Linked DNA regions of Drosophila melanogaster. The protein of the gene in region 1 interacts with the protein of each later gene in a biochemical or structural test. Each region holds a gene or a part of one and is shown on either strand. Other genes may lie near its edges.

What was found.
Region 2: the proteins of DIP-zeta (region 1) and dpr19 form a complex in vitro, tested with the Drosophila melanogaster proteins (one study listed by BioGRID).
Region 3: the proteins of DIP-zeta (region 1) and dpr9 form a complex in vitro, tested with the Drosophila melanogaster proteins (one study listed by BioGRID).

What each region holds. Positions count from the first base shown.
Region 1 is NT_033779.5:9,067,495-9,073,389, forward strand, and holds the start of DIP-zeta (Dpr-interacting protein zeta), read right to left. Parts: upstream 3,671-5,895; 5' UTR 3,338-3,670; intron 1-3,337.
Region 2 is NT_033779.5:10,374,299-10,381,304, reverse strand, and holds dpr19 (defective proboscis extension response 19), read right to left. Parts: upstream 5,138-7,006; 5' UTR 4,752-5,137; exon of another isoform or gene 4,421-4,751; intron 4,058-4,420; 5' UTR 3,984-4,057; coding exon 3,917-3,983; intron 3,509-3,916; coding exon 3,363-3,508; intron 3,295-3,362; coding exon 3,084-3,294; intron 3,018-3,083; coding exon 2,906-3,017; intron 2,815-2,905; coding exon 2,441-2,814; intron 2,383-2,440; coding exon 2,135-2,382; 3' UTR 1,400-2,134; downstream 1-1,399. Other genes in the region: gny (garnysstan), read right to left, coding at 1-142, 195-392, 492-1,156; CG33303 (uncharacterized protein), read left to right, coding at 5,572-6,157, 6,214-7,004.
Region 3 is NT_033777.3:15,073,988-15,079,737, forward strand, and holds the start of dpr9 (defective proboscis extension response 9), read right to left. Parts: upstream 3,220-5,750; 5' UTR 3,049-3,219; intron 2,300-3,048; 5' UTR 2,143-2,299; intron 1-2,142. Other genes in the region: CG6974 (uncharacterized protein), read right to left, coding at 4,543-5,298.

The DNA.
Region 1 (5,895 bases):
CATACCGCATGTGCTGACAGCCAAGTTTATGCCAATTAATTTAAATGCTCTTTTCATTTGTTGTTTATCTTAAGTTTTGGTTCTTTCACTCGCTTCCTTCCTCACCGAGCATTCGTTTTTCTTTTACAACTTCATTTTTGTCTATGCCGTAGTATCTTAAGATCATCTAAAAGAAATGTGCACAGTGTGCTTTGATTTTATCTGTACATTAACTATTTATGATATAATTAATAAAAAATCATATATATATATCATATAATTCACTTTATAAACACCACCAATATTTGACTAACTTCATAATTTGTATTAACATCTAATTGATAATATTAATTTAGATTGATTTTTAGTATAGACACTTTATTTTAGAAAATCGAATTTAAAAATTTTTTTAATTTTACTGGTAATATTTTCATTGGACATGTCGATATGTGTCTGATATTGTAGTTTAAATTCATAGGTCTTTGAAATATAGTTGTGTCACGCGCAGTCCTCTACTCTGGTTGCTGTTTCTTGGCCATCTCATTCAAAACTTTCTCTTAAAAATTGTATTTTTTATGGCTTTTGAGCGTGTCGCCTTCAGCTATTTAGGGGGTCCACACGCAGCTTGCGAAACACTTACACAGAGACAAAACTTTTTCCCTTATGACTCGCTTATGAAATTAAGCAATTTTGACTCCACCTCTTCCCCCAAAAACCACGCACACATGATAAAGCTTTTTTGGTATGGACCGAAACAGATTTACCATCAGAAACAAGAACAAGAAGTCCAACAAATTTTATGCACTTTTTTATGAGTTTGGCAAAGTGTTTGTAATTAAATTAATAAATTGTTGAGGGAGAAACTTGTTCCGAATGTGTTTTTCTTGTATTTTTATGCTAGGAAATTAAATTTTAATGGGGCTATTTAGTGTTTGTTTGGTTTTTGCTGTTTTTATAATGATAACTTTTTGGTAAAACAAATTGGCTTATAATTGTTGCGGGATTAAAGGGACTTAACTAAACGGGTGCGTAGATGAAAGAGACAATAACATTTATTTGTTTATGCTGACTAAGTTCATAGCCATTATAATATTTTTTATTGGGTGTTTAAATTTTCTTTTTAAAAGATTCTGTGTAAACGTAAATTAATCCTGACATAGTCATTAGCCCAAAAAAAATGTTCCTAGCTCTCAGGGGATTTCTCCTAAGCTTCTATAAATGCCTGACAGCTTTTAACCTTCATGGTTTTGTGGTAATTGAAGGGAGAAAAGAAAGCAGCACAAAGGAGGCCGAAATTGAATTAAGATATGTTTACCTATGGCCGAATTTATTTACATTAAAAGGTTCTTCAAAGAAGAAGCAAGCTAGAAAGGTTGTGCCTGTTACCTATCACTTATATTTTGGCAGCAAACAATACAAATACATGAAAATAAAATTCCGATTTAATTTGGTTTTATTTAAGGACTTACATCTCTCCCTTATCGAAAATTCGTTAGTTCACGTTACTATTTATTCGGATAATACAAGCTTAACTAGACTCAATTTAACTCTGATTTTATCTGGATAAAGTACTCTATTATATTTTCAGAAGTGCAATATAGAAACTAAATTTACCAAATAAACGCACCAATAAATATGCACTTATGATCAAAGCTCACACATATTTTCGACATCATCATCAGCAGCATCAAAGTTTTGCTATTTTGTTTGTTTTACTCTACACAATTTGTAAAGTTCCTGTAACTGCAAACGTCAAACCGAACTCGAGCAAACAAAACGCAACAAAGCTGAACTCAAAAAAGAATTCAAAAAAGATGGAAATAAATAAAGAACCAATAAGCCCTCTCTTCACTAGCTTTTGAAAAAAGTTCTGAAACAGCTGACATCCATGAGTTTCCCATCCTTCTTCTGCTCTGTGTGTTTACGTGTCTTACTCAAACTGTATCAGCTCCATATTGCCATTGATCTGCAATGATGCCTGAATGCAAAACATACCATTGTACAGTGGATACCCAACAAAATGAATCATTTCACATATGTTATAAATATGAAATAATTTAAATCTTAATTATATATTAAATGGAATTAAAATATTTGGACCATAAGAACCGATATATTGATATTAGTGGTGGATCCATTCTAAGTCTTGGTATATTGAATAAATTATGTAAAGTATTTTTACAACAATTTCTATTAGTTTCCAATGTTGTATACTGTAATTAAATATTTCTCTTTAATATTTTTTTTTTTTAATAAATTGTAACAAAATGCTAAGAAACGTTTACAATGAGCTTTGACAATATTCATACTCAAAGACTTATTCTGCATTTGGAATACAGTTGTGTCCAGTAACACATAGGCCCCACTGTACTCTCTGCGTTGTCTGTCTCTATCTCCTACTCCATTAAGTATGCAAGTTTTCAGCAGTTGGCAGTCGGGTCCTGGCCCTTTTCCCTGCATATCCTGATTCTCATGGATGCAGTGGGTTAATGTATTTTTAAGCTAAATTCTTTGTTTATATTTGCCTTGCTGTTTTCGGTTGTGTTTGTGTGTTGTGCATTGCGTTGCAGTGGCAACAACTGCTGTCCTTTATCAATCGCAACAAATTTCCCCTTCGACTATTTTTTTTGCGAGTTGTCCCAAAGTGAACTCTAGTGGATTCATTTATTCGCATATAAGTTTGTTTGGGAATTTTTCACAGATTGAAGAATGGCGTTGTGTGCGTGTCTGCCAGTTTTCGGGATTTAAGGACTTCGAGGGTCCTGGAGATAGTCTCGCTGTTTGTTTACTTTTTGTTGGCATGAAATGTGCATTAGCAGAGTTAACTGTTAATTGTTTACCCATTTCGAGGGCCTGACAAGTGACATGTGAGTTTGTGGTCTGGATTGTAGCTGTGGTTAACCATTAAATGGAGTTCAGTTATTTGAAATACTCGCACTAAGATAAATCGAAGTCTTTAATTGCATTTGAATGATCTGCAGTCCCAAACATAAACCTTTTACATTATATATTGTAATTAAGATTTTATACATAAATATAATATATAGCGTAACGAAACAAACGCATTAAACCAACTCCTTATTGCATTTTCAATTTTTAACATAGCTTATAATTACTTATCCTAACCGGCACTCGCACTTTTAAAAATTGTTGGAACTTTCGATTTAATATACTTCTGTCACTGATATTTATAAATAATATCTAAAGTTTGTTAAATTTAAAATTCCATATTTTTATAAAGTTTCTATTCTATTCTATGAATTATTAATAAAAAAGACTTTTCCGATGATCAAATTGTTCTTCTGTTTAAGACCTTAATAGTATGAATTGCATGTATTGAAATAATTAATTTACATACTGTAACTACAAGAATATTTTTGTGAATATTTAATTCTGTAGGTTAGTTTTGTGTTACGTATGATATACCAAGTTTTCAACCACTTTTACAAATTGTAATCTTTCAATAAAACGCTTACAAGTTTTGGTATTTTTTTAAATTTTATAATCAAGTGGACCTAAGTTTTTTAGCTCGACTTTTAAGTCATTTCTCAACACGATCACATTGAGTCAGGTGCTTCTAATTTGGCATCGATCACATGACACTTGAGTACGACTTTCCCTTTGCCGGGGATCTTTCAGTGTAACACCGATAAAACGCGTCCGCTTCGTGCAGAATCCGTAGCGAAACTGATTTGCCGACGAAACCTAATGCTCGCACAGAGCCGGGCTCTGGCTTTCCACCAACAACAATAAGGGAAAATCTAACGAATGGGAAGTGCTGTTACGTATACGCCGCGTTGGCCGAGTGATAACAGGCGGGGACGAGCCGACGGCCGACAGAGCGAGCCGAAGTGTAGCTTCGGTTTAAGCCAACCAAAGGACGCTGGATGCTGTTCATTGGTAGTTGTTGCTGCCGGTTGCTGGTTATGTCCGGTATCCTTGTTATGTTCGGAGGCTTGTTGTTTGCGTGCAACCGCAACCACAACAACAGACCGCAAAACACGCGACAAAAATGTTAACAGAGTCCAACCTGCAACACCATGCCCCAAAATCACCTCTCAAAGTTCGAGTTGCATGCCGATTCCGCCGTCGAACCTTTTTGGCTCGTTCCGGCTGAAGCTGTACCCTTTTAATAATAATTGAATTAAGATAAAATGAAAACAAAATCAAAACACATTTTTGCTTTCCGTTGGTTGCTGCATATTGCTATTTGGAGCCAAGTATTTAATTAGACAAGTTAATTAAATTTATTTGCATTTCATTTCAAGTCCATGTGCGTATGTTGAGCGAAAAAAGTGCAATTAATTTGAGATATTCAATTTGCAAGCGTTGCTTATTCGATTTTCGCTGATGCAGGACCATCTAATTGAGGGTGATAATTGCGTTTTATGACTGACTGAGCTAGCAAAGCTGGTTGTCAGTTGGTAGACGGTTAATTAAGAAGTTCTTTTCAAAGTTAACAGTGGTATTTTTGAATGGTTAGACAGATAATATTTTTAGTTACTTATTTTTTGAAGTATTTCATGATGATTTTATCCTATTAAATTAGGTGCACGAAAAAAGTTTTGCTATTTTTTAACTAGACCTTGTTTTAAGGGCACTGTAATCATCTCGACAAGCACTGGTCAGTTGTGCAGAAGGAAAAAAAAACGATGCATATCCGTCTGAAAGTTAGTCTATATATAGACGGATTGTATGCGATATGAGAGTGATGAATTCTCCCTGTTGGCCATACTGAACTATCTTAATGAACTCTTTCAAATCACAGACATCGCTCAATGCCAAAAACATTAAAACTGACAAGGCTAGACGGCAGACAAGATGACTGCTCTGTGACCCTCTCCCTGGGATTCCTCTACACACCACACACCCAAGGAGAAACGTGCACCATCGCTTGGCAAGTTCATTGTGGGGGGAATCCCAGAGGTGATAGGGCGGCGAGTGGGCGTGGTCGACTGTTGCGCCAGGATGTGACCAAAACAGGAAGAGTGGGTGGAGCGGGTGGATTAGGTGATGGCGAATGAGGAGGCGGAGGCGGAAAGGCCACAAAGGTCGTTGCAACACATTCGCTTCGTTGGGTCAAAAGTCAAGCGTTGGACGGGGGATCCCTTTGGATGCCAGCCATTACAACACTTTGTTGGCTGCTTTGTAAAGTTTTTCTCACCATGGAAAAAGTTTTTTTCTCTCTTTCCCAGTCTTTTTGTATTTTTCACGCCTTGTCCGAAAGTTTCCTGTTTTTCCCCTCTACTTGTTTTGCTATTTTTTCCCGCTGCCGCCTTAACAATGAAATTTTTGACTGCTGATTGTTTGCTGTTCAATGTTATTCTTCCAGTTCAATGCGAGTTTAAGTAGACAGAGCTAAACAAAATGGAAAAAAAGTATACAAAACCGGTCGGAAATATTGGACCTCCTTCTCTGGTACTTAGCCAAAGTCTGCAGCAAATTGAAAATGGAAAGTTTGGTTCCTGTTTTCCTGTGTAGATATATTCACAATTTCTTTTGCAGTTTGTCTGCGACTTTGGTTAAGTATGCCCTGCAGTCTAGTCTCTCTGCTAAGGACTGCCCAAATGAGGTAAAATAGTTTGGGGAATACTATCGGCAAAGTTTTGCCCCGGCTTGTCTGGTAAGATTTATATTTGGGATATTTGAGTTTAGGAAACAAAACAATACATGTACGAAAATCCGACCGAGTAATAAAACAAGATTAAAGATGAGAATCGAAAGTTTAATGGGCGGAGATTTGTAGACCCTTTTATGGCCAACAAACGTAATAACATCACGTAATTTTGAGGGTTGAAAAAACCGCAGGCTGACGTCGCATTTCCATTTTCCCAGCGGAGGCGAAAATGGAATGGATTTAAAACCAACTCCCCATAAGCATGCATTCATTTTTCCAGCAATTTTCACACTCAAGCT
Region 2 (7,006 bases), 1.3 Mb from region 1:
GAATGCCAGGCTCGTGTTGAAAAGCGCTAATAGAAATCCGACATTAGTTCGCCTTCGAAAGAGTAGTACATTTGTTGGCAAAGATGCAATTAACGTGCATGCAATGCACACAAGGGCCATTTGGTCATTGCTGATATGCTTCCTACAATTTGTTACATTACAAAATTGTATCCAACTTGATTCTACTTTCTTACTTTAGTTTCCAAACTACGTTGACGGCACACCAAACATTGGCCACCTTGTCCTCAAAAACTCCTCGGGCGACAGGAAACAGGCGATGGAGTACTTGAAGTACGGCCTGCAGAGATCCCAACCAAGGAACCCATAAAATAGCAAATGTTCCTAAGACAACGGCTGCTATCCGTGAGATTTCAGCGATAAAAGAAGCAAAGCTGTGGTTGAAAAGATTAAGATGAGTTTAGATTTAGTATCGAGGATTCTTTAGCTGTCTTGCTATTAAAAAAAAGTCGTTTTGAATCGCAAGTACCCACCTTTTTTGGCTTACACATTCACCCAGAAGGAACGCAAAGAACGGCAAGCTGTGATACAGCTCCATTTGCTTATAATTAAGGGCTAAAGTGAAGAAAAATGCAGCCGCGTAGAATCTTCTTCGCAAGATTGCGGCAATTGCCACGGCGGCAAAGCCCAGTGATATATTATTATACTGAAAGTGTCCATTGTCGATGAGTGTTTGTCCGGGATACGCGGCCACCAGCGTGAATAGGAACAATTTATCATCGCTTCGAAAGGCTTTATCTAGGGAATAGGCCAGCAACAACATTGCCGGCAAATAGATGAGCACGTCAGCAGAAACAACTGTTGCGCGCATGAAGCGTTTGTGCTCCTTCGACTCGAATCCCCTGCTCTTGTGCAGCTCGACGAAGCGGGGGTCAATGGATGCTCCTATGCGACCCACCAAATAGCTGTGGTAGGCCGTCAGAGGCGGATAATCCAGGCCCCAGTACTGAAGATCGTTGTTGGAGCTGTTTGTGTACCATTCCCCCACTGCCAGATTGACCGTGATCTCTTGCCAGTGGCGCTGGGCCTCGTAGTCGCCATGCATCGGCGGGGAATCGAAGCCGGAGTAGGAGTACAGCGAGATAATCGACCTAACCGCCAGGCCCAAAAAGGCGCTTGCCAAAATTTCGGATCTCATCTTTTTGTTTTGCCAACATTTTTCAGCGATGGTAGTTCAGCTATGTAGAATTATCGATAACTTGTGTCAAATACAACGACAAGCTAAGATTGCACCTCACGGAACTGCGGTATATGAAACAGAAATCGGAAGGGGGTCTTACATTTGAAAATGAGTTCAAAAATATTCATAACATTTTCGTATTCATTTTTTAAATGTGTACCACCCAACTGAAGAGCAAATAACTTAACCAGAAGCGGGTTTCTTAAAATTGATCTGTTTATTTAAAACGTTCTTATGTCGGCAACAAAATTTAAAAGTCGTTTTGCACTCCGTATTCGAGGGTAAACAAAACGAAACTGGCACTTCTGCCCATTTTGGATTGAAGACAGCGCTTTTGAAAACGCTCACGGAAGTAATATTTATTTACAGTTGTACATACAGTATATGAATTAGCATACTTCTAAAGGTGCTTACATAAATCAATCTATATACTAAATATCGAACACTGAGCAGAATAACAGTTTAAAGGTGACGATCAAATTTTCCGAGTTATTAGGTAACAAATCTGTATGGCTTTATCATTATCATTTTACGCTAATTCCATTGTTTGTAACATTAAAATGTCAGTACCAGTACCAGTCAATAAATATGAACATCTAAGCATACATTATATCTTACGTACCACTATGAACCATCAAAATATGCGGTTTTCAATCCCCCATGACTTATTGGCATAGGTATGCATTTTATAAGTTTTGTGGTAACAAGTTCGTGAATTCTCATCTTATTTCTCAATTCAATACATTGCATGTAATGGAAGTCTATTTACAGTTTATTCTTAGATTACTTTAAATGTCTTACCATGCCCACGCCGGCATCTCAATATGGTATGTCAATGATCTATTTACAATCTTCTATTTTAAAACAAATATTCTCAAATATAATATCCTCGAATGATTGAAGTTGCTCCATTCCAAATACCATCGATTATAAGTTTCAGCTATGCATAGTGACTATTATAAATGCTACGAATACCTTGTGAGTTGCCGCCAACGAGAATCGATCGAATACCACCGCGCCCATCAGCAGGAACAGCCCAGAGAAGTAGAGGATTCCCCCGGCCAGAGTTACGCCGCTAGTTCCATTCAGTCCACCCAATGTGATCAATCCGAAGGTGCCGTTGCCGTTGGTCTCCGTATCCAAAATGCTCCGATTGGCGTGCTGCATGGCCGCCGTTTTCTCACCTATTATAATTACAATGAGTATGACATATATTTAAATATCGACCGGCGGCGGTCTTACCCCTTAGAACATGCACTGTAATGCTGGCAGGACGGGCATTTGATGGAGCACATGTATAGTTGCCGGCATGACGGAAATTGACTTGCTTCACAGTAAGCACACTGACCGAGGGATTCAGGAGATAGGCGGATTGATGCTGTTGCGTCATATAGGGCGTGGAGGAGGGCACATTGGCGGCCGGTGCCTTGATAGCATCCGAGCTGCCCAGCAGGCTGTTGAGCACCCCATTGCTGGACTCCATGGGCATGGTGGCGCGCGATTTGTTCGCCGGCGAGCTACGGTAAAACTGGCCACTCTGCGGATTGCTTTGCCCAATCGATGTCACAACGAAGCCGCCTTGTGAGTCGTAATTGATCATTTTACTATCATGGTACCTAAATTGAAGAAATTGCATTCGGTTAAGTTGGGTCTTATGTTTAGAATAATATAAAATTTTACAAATCTAACTCATATTATTTTTCATACCAAAAAACAAATGCAGGATTCTCGGTAGCTCGCTTCAGTTTGCATTCGAGTCGCAGAGTAGAAGTCTCATCAATATGCAATTCCGGTGCACTAGAAATCTCAGCTACCGCTTCTATACAACGAAAAGATTCAATACCCGTTAAGCTTTGAACTTTGTAAGGCAGCTGCGTCCACTTACCGACAATCTTTAATTCTATAACTATTGACTGAGTTGGATAAATAGACAATTGACACTCGTAAAAACCGCGATCTTCCTCCCGAACTGCCTTAATTCTCAGGGACCAGTGGCCCATGTGCCGCGTGTGCTCCACCAAGAATCGCTTGTCACTACTGTGGGTGGATAGGCCCACTGTCAGGAGCTGGAAGTCCTTTCTACGTATCCAGGAAACCTGAAATGTTGCAAAAGGTCTAAGTATTAGAATCGATGTATAAATTTTAAGAAAAACATATATCTCACCGTGGCTGGGGAGTTAACTTTGACCACACAGGGCAGAATGGCAAGTCCTCCCTTTTGTGCAATAACTCGAGTGTTGTTCTTCGTATTAAATTGACTTTGTAAGGTGTTACCAAAATGATTTTGAGACGAAGTGATCTTCCCGACATCTGAAATGGTTGTTCAATGAATATTAAACAAAATCTCTTAATATAAATGTGTCAAAAATCACATGAAATGAATGAATCCAAAGTGATTTGCGGTGAAATGTTAAAAAAAAAAAACTTAAAAATGTAAAATGTAAAAATGAAACTTAAAAATGTATCTTTTATCTATGCCTTCATAGCTTTCGTTTTCATAGCTTTCGTTTTATTTTTAATTACTTTTGCATAGAAATAAAATTTTTCGTTCACTAATTTCTCTTGGTATTTAATATTTTTTTTTATTTACCTTCAAAAGCAATCAAAATAAAGTAAAAACGCAATCGAAGGTTTTCGCTTCCAATTTATAGCATACAACTTAGCGCAAAAGTGATAAAAATCGTTTAACGATTCATAAAGTTGGCGACCTTTGCTTACCAGAAAAAGTTGAACTAAGGAGTAGCAAAAAACATGATAAATGCAAGTGCCATCTTTTCGGTTCCATTATTTCCGAATTCGAGGCTCCGCGGATCGTATACTTTTCTAATTCAACTTTATACCCGCAGCAACATTGTCCTCCTGCAACGAACTTCAGTTTATGAGTACATTTGTATTTATGTATGTATGTATGTCCAATGTGTATTTCTAAAAATATTTGTGGCAACAACGATGCACCGTGGAGTATGTATGTATGTTTTATAGCTCGCAGATACAAGATATTTATATGTATGGGTCACGCAAACAACTTGAAACTTGTATCATGTTTTTTCTTTTTTGGGATAATCTTGACTTAAGTGGAGGAATTCAATTTCTTTCTTCACTAATATTTTATGCACAGAAAAAAAACACATGTCACGGATACAAACATACATATATGCATACAGATATATGTATATATTTTGGAGGAAATGCATACACAGAAATTGATGGAGGAAAACTCACTTTTTTCCCGTTTTTCTGCTCTTTTTGCACTGACTGCTCGGCAAATCCTTACGCGTACATACACATTTCGCCTCTAATTGTTTATGCAATCATAAAGCATTCGTATGACTATTTCATAGCTACATATTTTCGAGAATACAGATACAGATACACAGGTGAAAGATGTATAAATTGTATGTATTGACCGTCAGAAGTGCAGATTTCTCACTGCATTTTCGTTATATTTTCACACACGCGGCCTCTGTGTGTGCGGGTGTGTGTATGTGCGTGCGGGTGTGTGTGTGTGTGTGTGTGTTTAGAGAAAATGGCACAATTCTGGATTCGAATTTACTTGGTTGGAGCCAAGAGTCCGCAGTTCACACCCCGGCGAATACAACTTCGTTTTCGAAGTGCCAATCGTCGACTAAATTGAAGTCGGCAAAAAGCCCCATCCGTATAACTCACGCAATCGCATTATGTGGGGTCTCTTCTCTCCGGATTGCATTGCATATGCGTGTTTAAGCCAACTCGACTCGCCAATCGAAGGGATGATGACAGGAATTATTTAATATTATTCATATTTACTGCTGGGCGGCATAATGAATGGCATAGAGAATCGCATGAGTCGCACAAAAGTGGCGTAACAACGGCGTGTATTCTTGTTCTAAGGGTAATAGATAACGAACTTTGGTGGGGTGCTTTCCAAAATTAGTTTTATTCTGCTGCCAATCGATTGAAATGGCGCCCAGTCAGCTGACTGCTATCAGCCAAAAGTTAGGTTAGGTCAGTACTTGATAAGTGCTTCGCTAACAAGATAATATAATAATATAATGTAATATAACAATGAGAATCGTTAAAACACAACAAAAATTATGTATGCTATAAAACATGCATGCAGAACTTAAAATATATCAATAATATTTTATAAATGATTATTATATATTTTGTGCTTAAATTGATGCAAAATAAGCTTTATTTAGAAGTGCTATTATTTTGGTTACTGCCCTTTATATATTTTTTCTGTTATAAGAATAAAAATTAAAATATTTATGGAATACCCCTGATAATTCTGCGCAGTGGCTGGTAAAAGTACGAATGCGTGACACGGTCACGCTGAGCCGCTTTGCCGGCTGAATGGTCTTAAATATGCCCTAACGCTTCGAGATTTTCCAATGTACGTGTCCAAATTTGAGGCGAGCATGGCTACGAATTTTGTTATTTATCTGGCGCTTGGGGCACTCCTCTGCCTGGCCACTGCCAACGGGGAAATAGTGAACACAAATGTGGAGCGAACGCTGGACCTAACATCGCAGCTGGTAAAGACGACCACCAAGATCTCGGCGGAAGATTCGGCCGGCAAGCCGATTGTGGAATACGTGTTTTTCACATCGGAGCCCAGTTTGGCGTACATTGACGTAAAAGATGCTAGCGACAAGAGTGTGCCATTCAAGCGGAATGAGCCCGTGAAGGGGGAGCAGAGCTTCACGTTCACCTTCCCCAGGGCCGCCGCCAAGCAGACGTTCATCGTCGAGACCGTGGCCTCTAAGGGCATCCGCCCACATCCGGAGGAGATACGGCAGAACGACAAGCAGTTCGTGAAATATACGGGCAATCTGCACCTCTATTCCAAGTACAGGACCAACAGCCAGAAGACCAATGTCAAGCTCAGCTCCTCGAACATCTTGTCGCACACCCAGGTCAAACCCTTTTCGGTGTCCTCCAACAAGATCACCCTGGGACCCTACGAAAACGTAGAGGGTAAGTAATAGCTGCCTAGCAGAAACCGTCTGTTCTAACGCTTTCGATTCGTGCAGCCTTCAGCCAGGAGCCACTAGTCATCCACTATGAGAACTCCGCACCATTCGTCACCGTCAATACGCTGGAACGCACGCTGGAGATATCGCATTGGGGCAACATTGCCGTCCAGGAGTCTATTCAGATGACGCACACCGGGGCCAAGCTGAAGGGCTCGTTCTCGCGCTACGATTTCCAGAAGGAAGGACGCTCCGGACTGGCGGCCCTCAAGTCGTACAAGACCTACCTGCCAGCATCCGCATCTGGTGTCTATTACCGCGACACCAATGGCAACATTTCCACCTCCAACATGAACGCCGTGCGCGACTTCATCGAGCTGGAGCTGCGTCCGCGCTTCCCGCTCTTCGGCGGCTGGAAAACGCAATACACTCTGGGCTACAATGTGCCCTCGTACGAGTACATGTTCAACGATGGCAACAAGTACCAGCTGAAGATGCACCTCATCGATCACATCTACGACAATATGGCCATCGATGAGGCCACCATCAAGATTATTCTGCCTGAGGGATCCAGTGACATTAGGCTGTCCACGCCCTACTCCATCAGCCGATTGCCCAATGAGCTGGTGCACACCTATCTGGATACCATTGGTCGCCCGGTGGTCTCGTTCTCCAAATCCAATTTGGTCGAAAGCCACATTTCGGACTTTACGCTCCACTACAGCTTCTCGAAGACTTCTATGCTGCAGGAACCCCTGCTGGTCAGCGGCTTTATTTATATCATCTTCTTGTTCACCATCGTCTTCTTGCGTTTGGACTTTTCGATCACATCCCATGCGCATAAGGAATAAGT
Region 3 (5,750 bases), on another chromosome or scaffold:
GCTAATATAATATAATTAAATAATATGACAGGATTACAATCGAAAAGCCTTGAAAAATTTCAGAGCGTAACATTTTTGTAGTTTTTCTCGGCTCAATTTTTTCCAAAGCTTCCTGCTTTTTTTCTCGGCTATCCTTTTTGTGTTGAGTGAAGCATGTCCTATTGAAGTGAACTTTTGATGGGTCATCAATGCATTGACATTTAAAGCGACAGCTGTCAGGTCAAACAAAAGTGGAACACGACCACAGGACCTTCCTTTTAACCGATTAATCAAATATGCATGACCAGAGTAATTATGTTTGATTAATACACCCATACGTACGCATATATACATATACATATATATTTCTTTTAATTATGTCTTCGCTCGGCTGCAATTGTGTGCGATTGCCATCAATTATATTTTTGCTTAACAATTTTCTCCTTTTGTTTGCTTTTGATTTCCTGCTATTTATCAAACATTTGCATAATATTTCATTCATTCAAAATTGTACGCTCAAAGAGTTTCACAAGTAAACAAAAGGGTATTCATAAAAATTTAAATCAAGTAAATATGTCAATGCCAAAACAAATATAATGGACGCGTTTTGTGTTGCACTTCCATTGCATTTTCAACTTTATTGTGCCATTTAAAAAAATATTGCAACAATTGTAAGCTGATTAAATGGGAAAATATATTCAGGTCATAGAGTCATAAGCAAGTTTAATCAGCTACAGTTACTTTTTGTATCAATCCAATTCGATGAATTGTAGGAAACCATGCACATAAAATACAATTTTTTGCTTATAATTTGGCTCAATATTATAACCCTTTTTTTTCTAACGAAAGAAGGGTTATTAATGTCGTTCTGAAATTCTATAAGCTCAACCGAAATATTTTATAGAGTAACCAAACAGCTTTTAAAGCCTATTTTCTGTTCGGCCTACTTCACTTATTTGTATCTTTCGGTTACTCGCATCTTAAAGCAAGCTTATGAATTTCTTTTCTGTGTGACTTAAGCTGATTTGGGCCAGACAATGAATAGGGAAAGTCAAGGCAAAAAAAAAAAAGGTTAAGTACAATAAAAATAATTTATGTATTTGGGCAACTTTCTGACGCGCAAAGTTCCATAATAAGTGACCTTGCTGAAGCAGCGTGTAAATAAAATGTTGTTTTATTTTCTTAGAAAATGTCTAGCATAAAATGGCAATCTTGTCGGGCGGAAAGTCTTAGTTACCTTTTCCCTGAGCTCACAGGTAATGGTGTTGGGAAAGTGGTCAAAGGTGTAGCATCTAAGCATATTTTCTAAGGCAATCTCAGTAATGGAAATTTGTGGTGGATGCCACAGAAATATGTGCCACATGAGTGGAAAGCTACGACTCTTAGTAAAACTGAAAACGAAGGCATTTCACGTGACCTATTTAAATGTAAGCCTTACCCATCGCGAATTTATGGTTCTTAGCAATAATGTTTCATTATAAATAATGGATCATTAGCTAATTAATTTCAAGAACTTAAAAGAGTTTAAATAGGCTTATTAGTATGTTTCCGAAGAACAAAATTTCAGTTCGTAGTAACTGAATCAGGTTTATGTTCAGTTGCCTGATAAAATTTTAATTAACCAACAAGTAGCTCTCAAATACTTATAACACTTATAATATTCCGTTTGTATATTAATTAAAAATAGTCATTATTATTTATAACACCTTTCCATCAGTGAGTCTTAATATAAGCTTTTAGGAGCATAAATTTGGTGTCCTTCCCCCACAACATTTAATAAAATAAGTTGATTGGAATACCACCCACCTGTATGTTTAGGCACGTGTGTGCCCAGAGAAATTCTTGGCATTTTCATAATTAAATTGAGCTAACAATCCAAGCTCCTCCCACCGGCAACATTTTTTCCTGAACAACTTCTAACCACAGCAAAGAGAAACAGCGAAAAAAAATATCACAATAAATAAAAATGTAACCGTACCACCCGTTGGCTTGGCTTTTCCGCCACTGGGAAAACCAACGCACCACCCAAACTCAAACAATGACACATTGGTTGATATGTGTTTTTGTTTTTTTTTTTTTTTTGTAAGGAAATACATGATTATTGGTGTTAACTAGTTAATGAAATTATTGGATAATTGGCTCAATAAAATTAAAAGGGCTCACCTTTGCTGCGCTGCTGTTGTCCTTTGATCCTGTTTTGTTGCAAATTTTTCGATGTTTGGGTTTTTGATAAAACTCAAAAGTTTCGGTACCGAATCTTTATGAACCTTGGAATTTTCGCAGTGCTAATTTTCACTTTTGTTTTTCAATTTTTTATCATCTAAATAAAGGGACTTTAATGTTTGCTTTATCTCAACCCATCAAGGCCTGTGAACTCATTTTATATGCCCCCTTTTTTTCATGTGTTGAATATCTCAGCCGTGTGATTCCCGTATTTAAACCATTTCTCGCCCTTTTTCCCATTTTATGCAAATATTCCCGGTTAAGCGGAATGCGACCCTAATTTATGAGCCCCAAAGGGAAGGCGAAAGAAAAAAGTTAAAAAGCAAAAGTTCAGACGAGGGAAAATCGCAACATTTTCCGAGAAATTTTAAAAGGAAACCCCAAAGTATTTCTTATAATTATTTCTAAAATTCTCGGACCGCGTTAAGAGATATACGTATTCCTGGACGACCTTGGCGGTCTTAAAAAACAAAACAGCACGCGAAGATGAATAACATTTTTTGTGTGAGTTGGCTGTATGTGCAACGTGCAACGAGTGCAACGTTAATATGCCACAGCCGCCGTGTGGCCTTGATAGGTAAGAATTGAGGTGAAGGATCAGTTGGGGCAGGTTCGGTTTTTAGTTTTAGTCTGGCTTAGTATTTTAGTTTGGTACTCGAATATTCAAGGATCGCTGGCACTCTTGCACACTTTATTTTGGGATATTCGTTTCACTTAAGTGTTGCATACTTGATTTTGCACACTGGCACGCAGGTCTAGATTTTCATTTTTCCGTAGATTTCTTCATATATTTCGTTGCTTTCACATTGCGTGCGTATATTTCACATTGGCTCATTTATTATTTACCTTTATGGCACACTGGACAACTTTTACTTTCGACTAGCGCACCCGTGTCCGTGTGAGTAAGCCCACTTGTGCGTGTGTGAGTGGCGTATTGAGGTTGTCCTCCGAACAGGACCTTCCACCGCTTTTCACCGTGAGAACGAACCGAACGATACGACTGCACTGAATACACTGAAAGCCACACGAACGGCGTCGGCTTGAAAAGCCAGGCGACCAGCCAAAGCTCCCATTTTCCTCTTCCCCTTTTTCGGCGAGAGAGCGAGCTTTTCCGCCTAGAACAGTGGGCCAAAATGTATTCATCCTGCCAGCTCACTTCCAGTCGGTCTTCACTCTCACCGATGGCACTTTCGAACTTCCCGAAACATGTGGAGTCTCTTTGATATCCGGCTCTCTTAAGGCAAGCATTTAATGGCCATCTGTTGGCATCCTTACGAAGCCACAACTCTTTGCCCCGCTTTGCAGAACTCAACACTTGCCAATAGTGCTATTTTGTACCACTCAAAAGGGTAAACTACAGCGTTTATTCTTTTGTTTGTTATTTATATTCTCCTTTAAGCAAACATTTACACATTCGTTGTATGTTGTTGCTAAATTATTAGTGGAGATACAGGAATACTCTCTTACTACCATGCGGCACATTTATTAGCTTTTATTGGTTTGTTTTCTGACAGTTTTCTTTAAAGGTCAAAGCTATTAAATAATATTCGTCACATTTCAGTAAATATTATTTCTATCTGGGCATATAAGATAATTCATGTCAAAATAATTGGATTCTTTATAGCAAAGATATATTCTTTAAATTTAAGCAGATGAAAATTTCTTCTTGCTTGGTTGATTCTTTAACTCGTACAATTCGATTTTTGCAAAGCTGTCAGGGATTTAAAAAGGTTATTTAAATTCCGCAATTGCTATCCATGAAATGGTATCCTGATCCAAAGTGGGTGGTTACTGGCCAGGGGAGTGAGAGACTTCTAATAGGCAGCTCCAGACACTCGGCCTTCTTAAGCACTTAGTGCACATTAAGTGCCAGGGATTCGGATTGTTTGCTGCCCAGTCGTTTGGACTCATGCCCAATCCACGGCAGACCCCATTCAGCATTGAGAAGCCCCGCTTTCTTCCCCAACTGCTCCTTAGTCTGCTTCAAAGTTAACTGACACTTACACTTGCACTTCTGTGAAATCAAATGCATTCGCCTTGGGCTTGGATTTGGATTTCCTTTATGTTCGAGCGGGGCTACCCATTTTCAAGAGGCTGGAAAAACGTTTTTCCAGTTAACGGACACTGAATGATTGGGTAGCATTAAACGGGTAGCACTTTTCGGGTGGGTGGGGCTTAAATGACTTAGTGATAGACTTAAATGAAAAGCCATAAAAGATTGAAAAACCATGCAATCGGTCTGAAAGTTTGCATATTAAACCATTCCATTTAAACACATCCACTTTAGAACGCAACATATTTATTAACCAATCCTAGTCCTCGCAGAATTCTTCCTCCACTCTAGCACTTGTACATCAAACGAATTTTGGTCCAATCCCCTTCGGAAGGTCCTCGCACCTGACCCATTTCCCTCTCCACAGCCTTACCACCGATTAGGGCACGAATTGTTGGCTTTGAGGGATCCTTGGCGAAGGCGTTCTTCGAATAGTGCATAACGCTCTCGTAATCGTATGGAACATTGAAGGTGGTTGTCTGATCCATGGCCATGAACTGCGACCAGTATTTCCTCGGGATATTGTCGTAGTCGATTTGCACGTACTCATCGCGATCGGGACGACTCTGCTCGTGGAAAAGGCCCAGCAGGTGAAGGGTTTCGTGTTGAATTACAGCCGGCATAGTGAGGCATTTCTCGTTAAGGACAACTTCGTGCGGACCAAAGGACAGAGGTTGATAGCCCACTCGAGTGCCACACATATTGGGCGACTTCTTGAAGGACACATATCGTTTGCCTGCGGGCGGAGCTCCTTCGATCTCTTCGAACTGCACACAGGTTTGCTCGCCAAAACTTGACATTGCTGTCCGCACATTGGCTACCTCCTGTTCACTGTAGTCCGTAGATATGCGGTACAATATCTTATTGCCTGGCCAACGTTGGAGTGGAGAAGTCAATGCATTTCGGGTTTTGGCCTCCGCCTGCTCGTCATCAATATGTATCTCGTTGTAGTAGTTCTCGTAGGACTCAATTCCTTCGGACGCCACCAGATTGGGTGCAAAAATCCCCGCCAAAAGCAAATACCGAACAGCTTTAAGGAACATTTCTATAGCTATGACCAAACTTCAAATGCCAACCCGCTTTTATAGTCATTTAATTAAAATAGTTATCAGTTTTATTTCTGTCTCGAAAATATTCTTTATATTAAGGTTTTACATACATACACGGACAAATCAAGTACAGGCAAAAAAAAAATACTTTCCCTAGCACAAACGTGAACTTTGTTTTTGAATGTACCCTTTTTAAATGATTACATTTTCTTTACAACATCGAAACGAGAATTTTAAAAACTTTACATGATCCAATTAAAAAATTGCAGTGTAGTTAGCTAAACACAATTCCAGATTGGAGCTACACATATACCACCTTCTTTTCCATGGAGCCAAGTTTGTAGTGCTTAGCATAGATACAATAATTATACGTTTGCATAAGCCTAATGAATGCACATCGAATTGCATTTCAGAACACATTGGTGGCTAGACACATGCACATATTT